Linked DNA regions of Ovis aries. The main gene of each other region encodes a partner of the protein of the gene in region 2 in a complex. Links are inferred from orthologs where the notes say so. Each region holds a gene or a part of one and is shown on either strand. Other genes may lie near its edges.

Region 1 (4,173 bases), on a different chromosome or scaffold from region 2:
ACCCCAACTCCCAATGATTAGCCCTTACATGATCAGGGTGAACCCCTGACCCTAATGGTTCATCACCTTCATTTTTCAAGGCAGTGCATGCTGGGAGAAAATTTGTTTTCCAAATTCTCAGTCCTTAGTGGTCTGACTACCTAAGTTAACAAACTGAATTGAGAACGTGCAAGAACAGTAGCACAAAACAATGTGAAAATAGGTTGCTATGGAGCCTTCAGGAATGAGGAAGATGATTCTAGAAAGAAGAGGCAAACAAGTTGCCTTCAAGGGTCTTACCACACTGAGCCTGTTGGGTCACCTCTGCCACCACTCCCACTTCACTGAGTCCAGTGATCAGACAGCAGTCAAATCTTTGTATTTTTACTTTATTATACAAAAAAAGGGAAAACAAAACTTCCACAGTTGGCCTTAAGCTTAGGCAGACACCTCTAAGCCATTCCCTCCCACCTCCCATGATACAAATTCAAGTTGTGGTTGTTGTTGAAACCTACAAAAACACTTCTTAAATATTAGAAAAAAACGGGGTTGGGGGGGAGAGCAGGGGTCCTCCCACCCCAGTCATCCCATCCCAGTGCCAAAATGCACTCAGAGTGACCTCTTACAGCACCCACACCCCCACCCCCACAGCTATGTTTGTACTGTAAGAATTTTTCAATTTTTAAAACAGGAAAAAAAAGTGCCCCAAAGTTGTTTTTAAATGAAAAACACATTCCACTAAAACACAACAGCGCAGGGGCACTGGAACAGGGAAATGGGGCTCTCTGCAGGGGCTCTTGAGAAGAAATAGAACCTATGAACCCCTGTACCTAATTCCAGAAGCAGGACAAAGAAAGGGGAGTGGGGAGTAGGGAGTGTCCCCCACTAGCTCCTCCCACCCCCAGCACCACATCCGAGAGGCAAAGCAGATTATCTACCTTCCTCTGTGAGCGGGACCCACCTTTCCCACCACACCTCCTAGACAAGAGTTCTTCCTCTTGCCTTTCATTCAGAGGGGGAGGGTGGAAAAGCACAAACCCCCAATTAAATAGGTCACTGACATGATTGTTTAAAAAAATTTTGATCAAAAGCAACAACAAAAATTAAACCCACAGAGACTAGGTGGCTTGGCTTTTTGAGAGTCTAGGAATCAGGGTTCCAAAATCTGGGGGATGGCTGGGAAGGGTTAGGACAGCTGTCAAAGCAGCTTTTGCAGACCTCTCCCTCAGCTGTGGGTTTGGGGAGATGGGGTGGGGAAGGGAGCTGACCTGAGAAATCAAAGGAAATGGGGGTGGGGTAGCTGGAGGATATGGGGGGCAGGCAGGAGGGGTGTCTAAGAGCTTCCAACACATCTCTTGAAGCCCAGGTTCAGAGCCGACGGCAGCTAGGTGACCCCTCAGATGAGCTGGAGACACCTTTCCCGCCAAATAAAATATTTAAGGTTCACCTAGTCTGTCCCCCTCCCCACTGTCCTGATGGATACTGGAGACTTGCTGTAGCGCCAATGGCCCTGGCTGAGGGAGACCAGCAGAGGAAGCACCAGAGTGGCTTCAGTACACCCGAACTGAATCAGAGATCAGGCAAAGCGGAAGATATGGAGAAAAGGGCCACCCCAACCTATCCCCACCAGGGTCAGCGTCTCCATAGCTCTCACAACCCTTTTACCTTCTCTTACACACACAAATACACGTGCCTTTGCACACATCCACAGGTGCACCCATGCTATGTACAGGCCACAGGCATACACACACGCACACACGCGCACACACACACACTTTTCCATACACATCAAGACCGTTTTAAAAAAGCCCCAAACCTACCCTCTAAACCCTCCCTCTCCCAGAAATGACAACAGAGACGGCAGCCGAGATCGGTAGGAAACGTCTCGTTGACAGCTCAGAGCTTAAAAAAAAAATATATACACATATATAAAAAACACTTCTGCCCCCTCCCCCCCGCCCCCGTGAGTGGGTCCAGGCAGCTCCTTCCCGCAGGGGGCAGGGAAGAAGAGGGCCATGGGGCAAGGCCTATTTCTTCATAGGCGCCAGCCCTCTTCTCCCATGTTCCCTGCCTCCAGTTCCAATGCAGGGATCCAGGCTGCAAGCCCCTCTGGAAAGAAAGGGGTCTTCCTCAAGCTTCCACCCTCCCTTGGGTTGGGCTGCAGGTGTAGGGGGCCTCACTGAACTCTTTGGGAACCCCGACCCACTCCCGGGTCCATTGTCCATGCCGGAAACCGCAAGTGCAGAAGAGGGGGTGGGCTGGACCAGTCCGGTGGTGGCTCAGTCTGATGGGTACGCTCCCTGGAGGGCCCCCCAGGGCTGATGTCTCTGAGGCCGCAGAGTTCTGGCCTGGGCGCCTCCAGCGCCTACCCCCCACCGTGTTTTGTTTTGTTTTAAAAAAAAAAAAAAAGAAAGAAAGAAAGTGGGGGAGGCCAAGGGGCAGGGGACAGAACATGGGGGAGAAACAAAGGTGTTCAGCCGGAGAAGGGAGCCCCGGGTGGGGCTGAGCCTCAGTTGGAGTCAGAGTCCGAGGAGTCCCCCGAGGAGGAGGAGCTGGAGCTGCTGCCCTCGGACTCGTTGTCCTCATCCTCGTCATCGTCCTCGTCGTCGTCCTCATCCTCATCGTCCTCCTCATTCTGGGCGACAAGGAAAGTATGGTCACCAGGGGGCCGTCCTGGCAGCCCCTCCGCCCCGCCAACCATGCCCCATCCACCCCACCTCATCCCCATCCTCGCTCTCATCCTCGCTGCTGGACTCGGAGGAGTCCCCGCCATCCTCAGAGGAGTCCCCGTTCTCATCATCTTCCTCCTCCTCATCCTCTTCGTCTTCATCCTCATCCTCTTCATCATCATCCTCAGACTCCTGGGAGGGATGGAAGCACATCGGTGGTCCCTGCCATGCCACTCAAGGCACCTCAAATCCCCCCACCCAGCCCCCCGTTCTGGGAGGGGCTCCTTACCGACTTAGATTGCAGGGCAGTCCGACTGGACTTGGGGTTTGGGCCTCGCAGCTTGGTCATGTTCTTACGTTTCTGTAGGAGGGGATGGGGACATGGGCAAAGGGAGTAGCCAGGAGTTCTGTACTGCTCCCCCCAGAAAGTGAAAGTCGTGTCCAACTCTTTGTGACCCCACGGACTTGGGCTCCTCTGTCCATGGGATTCTCCAGTCCAGAATAATGGAGTGGGTAGCCACTGCCTTCTCCAGGGGATCTTCCCAATCCAGGGATCAAACCCAGATCTCCCGAACTGCAGGCGGATTCTTCACCCTCTGAGCCACCAGGGAGCAACCCCCTAGCCCCCACCCCCACCACAAGTTCCCTCCTTATCCCAACAGCACCCTGCTCCCAGACTCACATTAGAGATGTACTCTTTATATGCCGCACGTTCCTGGGGAGACAGACTCTGGGGGAGACAGAGGAGGAGGTGAGGGCGGGAACATGACTCAAACTACTGCTGACTGAGCACACTGGTCAAGCACCAGGCATCATCATGCCACCTGCGCCCATCCCAGTCTCCTTGGGTCTCTGCAGAGAACCCTAAGGACCTGAGAACACAGCTCAGTATTTCTGCTTAAGATGCTCCAAAGCCTTTTCTAAGCTACCCCGTCCTAAGACTGCTTTCATGTCTGTCCTGTGCTCTACCCAAATGGAGGCTCCAGAGTCAGGGCCTTCCTCAACTCAGAGAAGCACCCCCGGAAGACTGCCCCAGAAGCCAAGCCCAGAGCCACTGCCAAGGCAATCTGGGGCTCACCAAATTGTCTGGAACCCTTAACCCCTGCTATTCCCCCTGGGTCCTTGGCCAACCCACCTGGGTGGCTGGGGAGGACACTGGTGACTCTCCCCACTTTACAGATCCGACTGCTCAAGCAAGGCACAGAAGGGGAGCTCAGAGGCTAGAGGCTGAGCCAGAGTCTTGGAGACATCCCCTGGTCCCGGCTGGAGGGAGGAAAAGTCAGTCTGACTTGGATCTTCCTACTCCCTGGCTGTGTGACCTGGGGTAAGTTACTTCACCTCTCTGAGCCTCAGTTTCCTTCTCTGATAGTAACCATTACCCTGAAGGACTGCTGGGACGCTGAATGAAATCACGAATGCAGACCAGCCAGCAGGAGGCTTCCTAGGGTCCCCTGCCCTCTCACCTTGACCCAGAGGTCCAGGTTCACTTTGTACTGTTTCTGCTGCTCCTCGGCCTGCTTCTTGT
Region 2 (4,241 bases):
GGTGTGAGCTGAGAGCCGACGGGGCTCCAGGGGACGGAGGCTGGGCCAGCTGCAGACAGGCCTCGCAGAAGCTCAGCTGTTCCCTGGATGCAGGGCTGGTGATGCGGCTGAGACCCCAGGGAGCGGGTGACTGGACCGCTGCGGTTTCCAAAGGCCTGTCTGGCCACTGCACAGGGACCAGGCATGGGAGGGGGGTCTTGGGAGCGAGTCAGGTGGGGTCTGGCAGGACGTCTGCCGACAGGGCAGGGTGGGGCCAGAGAAGGGTGCTGGGCCTGGTCTCTGCAGAGACCACCCATCAGACGCCTGGGCAGGTGGCCTCAGGAAGGCCGCCTCCCTCCTGCCCTCTAAGCTGCTGGAGGCACCAGGGCCTGCCTGAGCCCCGCCAAAGCAACAGCTTCTGGTTTGAAGCCTCAGCCTAAGCTGGACCGCGATGAGCTGCCCCCCACCCCCGCCCCCGCCAGACAGCTCTCTAGTTGGTTTTCAGGGCAACGCATTTAACGCCTGGGCACTGAGAGCCCATTCAGAACAGATGCCCAGGAGAGCTGCCTCAGGGCACCTCCCACCTGCTGTGGGGTCTCAGGGGTGGAGTGGAGCTGCCTGCCTGCTGTGGGTGGAGCCTGGAAGCTTCTGGCGGCAGCAACCTCAGGATGCGCAGCTGTGACCACAGGGAGCACTCCACTCAGAGCGCAGAAAGTCTGGAGCATTAGATACCGGGGGAGGAAGTGGGGACCTCTGTTCTCGGCTGAAGGGCACCCAGAACAGCGCTGTGGGACGCCGGTGCCCCCACCCCAAGCACTCGTGACATCTGTGTCTTCTGTGGGGCCAAGCGCCCACAGAGGAAGGGAGCCCCGTGCTGAGCACTCCCGTATGGAAGGCCCACCCTCCTCCTGGGCCGTGCGGGCCTCGGGCACCAGGTAGAACCCCAGGAACCGGCGGGGCAGCCCACAAACCCAGACCAACTGTTAGGACTTCCTGGCAGTCCTCAGAAACATTTACTAGACAGTTCTTTCCAGGGAGGAAGACCCACGCCAACAGAGCCGTGGGCGGGCGTGGCTTCCGGCGCCCCACACCCCAGGGGAACAAGCCATGGGTGAGACGCCCCCTGCGGCATCGCGGGCTCACTTCTCCAGGGGAGCGTAGTTGAGCAGCTTCTCGATCAGGTCCACGTGGGCAAGCAGCATGCGGCGGCAGCAGTAGCGCTTCAGGCCCAGCGCGTCCAGGGCGTCCCTGCAGGTGGGGAGAGATCTGGCTGCAGCCTGCTCCTCCCGGCAGACAGAGGGCCTCGCCCGGGGGGAGCAGCCCCCCTCACCTCCCAGAGACACGGCCCCAGTCACCCTCAAAGCCTCCTGTGTGTGGGCACCAGCGTGGCACCCATAAAAGGGGCGGCCGCTTGGGCAGCCCTGGCCTGGGGCATCTCGGGGAGGAGTCTGGGGCAGGCTGCCAGCATTCACTCGCACTGTGGTCATTCCAGCAGCCTCCTCGAAGCCTGGTGCAGATACTACGGCCGTCCGTTGCTTCCCTATCCACCCAACACAGCTACACGGAGAACCTCACCTGCTACCACACTCCAGGTCCCAGAGGTTCACACTTTGATAAGGATGGGGCTGTCCACACAAGGACCAAAGTCAGACTCTTGTCTAGGGTAAACTCAGACAAGTAAGGCGGTAACTGCAGTGCCAAGGGGCAAACACGGAAAAGGGACCCCACAAAAGCCTGATGATGACGGCTATGTGATCAGAAGCTTGTCCTATGTACTAAAAAAGCCCGTGAGTCTGCAAGACACGGTTTGTTGTTCAGCCGCTCGGTCGTGTCCGTGACGCCATGGACTGCAGCTCGCTGAGCTCATGTTCTCCTCTATCTCCCAGAGTTTGCTTGAACTCCTGTCCATTGAGCTGCTGATGCTACCTAACCGCGTCCTCCTCTGCCGCTCCTTTCTCCTTTCGCCTTCCATCTTGCCCAGCATCAGTGTCTTTGAGGACACGGGGTGGGCCTAATAGCAGGGAGAACTTAGGGAGCTGACGGACAGAGGTGGCCAGGGGCCTATCTGCGGTGGAGGCGTGGAGCCAGAATACTCGAGTCCCCAGACACCAGCGCTTGACAACTAGCTCCCCTCGTCTGCCTGAACTGGGGGGTGGGAGACGCTTTCCTGAGAGCAGGTCTGGAGAACAGGGCTGGCAAAGGCTCCGGGAATAAAAGCCTTGCCGGCGTCACCTGGGATCTGATGAACGTCCCTTGCTCCTGACCTGGAGACCAAGACCCCTGACTGCCGCCTCAAGACCCCAACCCCTCAAGCCTGGATCCTCGACAGCCGCCCGAGACGCCGACGCCGCAGGCTAGGCCCCCTTGACCCTGCCCCGGGCCCCGCAGGCCGGGGCCCCCGTGTCCTCGCTCCGAGCCCCGCAGGCTGGGAAACCCTCCCCTTAGGCCGGGCGCCCCTGTCCTCGCCCCGGGCCCCGCAGGCCGGGCCCCCGTCCCGCCGCCCCGGGCCCCGCAGGCTGGGAAACCCTCCCCTTAGGCCGGGCGCCCCTGTCCTCGCCCCGGGCCGCGCAGGCTGGGAAACCCTCCCCGCCCCGGGCCCCGCAGGCCGGCGGCCGGGAGCGCGCCCCTCACCCCTCGGTGTACTCGGCCTGCAGCAGGCCCAGGTAGGCCTCCCACTTGTTGCCGACGATCTTGCCACACGTGAAGCAGCGAACGGGGATGATCATGGCGGCGGCGCGGGAGCTAGAAGCTTCGCGGCCCGGCGGCCCGACGCCCGGATCCCCCGGCGCTTCCGCCCCGGCGTGCCCATGGCGCGCCCATGGCGCGGGGGTGCCGGCCCGGCCCGCCCCGTGCACCTCCCCGCGGCCCCGGCGCCGCCGGCATCCGCCTCCCGCCGCGACGGCGGCTCCTCCGGCGGGCGCGGGCCCGGGGGCCGGGGCCCGGGGGCCGGGGCCGGGGGCGGGGCCCGGCGGGAGCCCCCCGCCCGCGCCTTGGTACGTCCCGGCCTACGGCGTCCGCGCGGGGCCGCAAGGGCTCGGCGGCGGCGTTCGCGTTCCTCGTGCCCGGCCGACCGACTCCGCGCGGCGGGCGCGAGGCAGGTACAGCGCCCCTGCCGGGCCGCGGGCGGAGTGCGGCCGGGCCCGCGCGAACTGGGGCCCCGAGCGCAGAGCGCGAGCCGCGTTTCAGCAACAAGTTGCGAGCCGGGTCTGGGGCGCGGAGAGCGGCCGGAGGGGCCGGGCAGGGGGCGGCCTCTCCGCCTGGGGCCGCTGCCCGCGGGCACTCGGGGGTCTCTGCGCAGAGTCCGAGGGACCCTCGAGGTCGCCGCCTGGCCGGGTCGCCTGCACAGTAACGGTCCCGGCCCGGTAGCTGCCCGTATCCCTGCAGGCGGGCGGCGCGGGGCGACCCAGCCGGTGGGGGCTCCGGCCGTCGCCGCGGTCAGCTTGGCCCCCCCTCCTGCCTTCTTCCCGGGGGAGGCGCTGGCGGCCCAGGCTCCAGTCCGCGCTCGGCAGGGGCGGGCGCCAGTGACCCGGGAGCGCCGGCTCTGAGGGTCGGGAGGGCACTCGGGGTGTCTTTTGAGCTGAGACTTAAAGAGGGAGCCGGACAGACACCCGTCCGTGCGGGACAGAAGCTGTGGGAGCTGGAGGCGGTGGGGGTTTAAAGGGAGCGGGGGGGGGGCGGGGGCGGGGGCTGTGTCTCGGGAAGTGGCGAGAGGTGAGCCCCCTGATCCTGTGACTGGCGGCTGGGAGAGGGCTGTGTGCACTGAGAAGCAAGGAAGGCTCCCTGGAGGAGGCGAGCTTTGGGCTGAGGAGGGTGGGCTAGGCACCTAGGCAGGGTCTCCTCATATTTGCTGGCCTGGGGCGTCAGGGTCTCTGGTTGGGGTGGGGGGTGGGGGTGGGCCCACCATGTTGGGTCCCAGGCTTTAGCTCAGAGTCCACCTGGGGTGGGTGGTGGACTCTGACTGTAAGTCAAGGGGCTGGGAGTGGAGGTCCCAGGGAGGCTGGCCAGCACTTCTGCGTCTGGAGTTTGGCTCTGGCCACCCTCCCCAGCGGGGTTCGCCGTCCCCCACCCTGCCACGTGCGGAGCCACGAGCAGAAGCCACTTCCCTGCCCTGCCTGCCCCCCCTTCCCAAGCTGACTGGACGCACATCCTGTCCCCGGCTGGGATGGGGCCTTGAGTCACAGTGGCCTGGGGTGGACCCAGGCTCAGCTGTAGAGGCAGCTGCGTCTGCAGAGGTGAGGGGGATAGGCGGGAGGCTCTTCTAG

Evidence for each region. The genes of interacting proteins can lie anywhere in the genome.
Region 1: POLR2L (region 2) and UBTF share a complex: the UniProt entries of both Homo sapiens proteins name them as parts of the pol I pre-initiation complex. The link is inferred for Ovis aries from reciprocal best matches to the Homo sapiens genes POLR2L and UBTF.

The regions. Positions count from the first base shown.
Region 1 is NC_056064.1:43,759,465-43,763,637, forward strand, and holds the end of UBTF (nucleolar transcription factor 1), read right to left. Parts: coding exon 4,112-4,173; intron 3,379-4,111; coding exon 3,331-3,378; intron 3,010-3,330; coding exon 2,938-3,009; intron 2,841-2,937; coding exon 2,697-2,840; intron 2,615-2,696; coding exon 2,489-2,614; 3' UTR 353-2,488; downstream 1-352. UniProt on the Homo sapiens protein: Recognizes the ribosomal RNA gene promoter and activates transcription mediated by RNA polymerase I (Pol I) through cooperative interactions with the transcription factor SL1/TIF-IB complex.
Region 2 is NC_056074.1:46,914,816-46,919,056, reverse strand, and holds POLR2L (DNA-directed RNA polymerases I, II, and III subunit RPABC5), read right to left. Parts: upstream 2,740-4,241; 5' UTR 2,706-2,739; coding exon 2,611-2,705; intron 1,228-2,610; coding exon 1,119-1,227; 3' UTR 970-1,118; downstream 1-969. UniProt on the Homo sapiens protein: DNA-dependent RNA polymerase catalyzes the transcription of DNA into RNA using the four ribonucleoside triphosphates as substrates.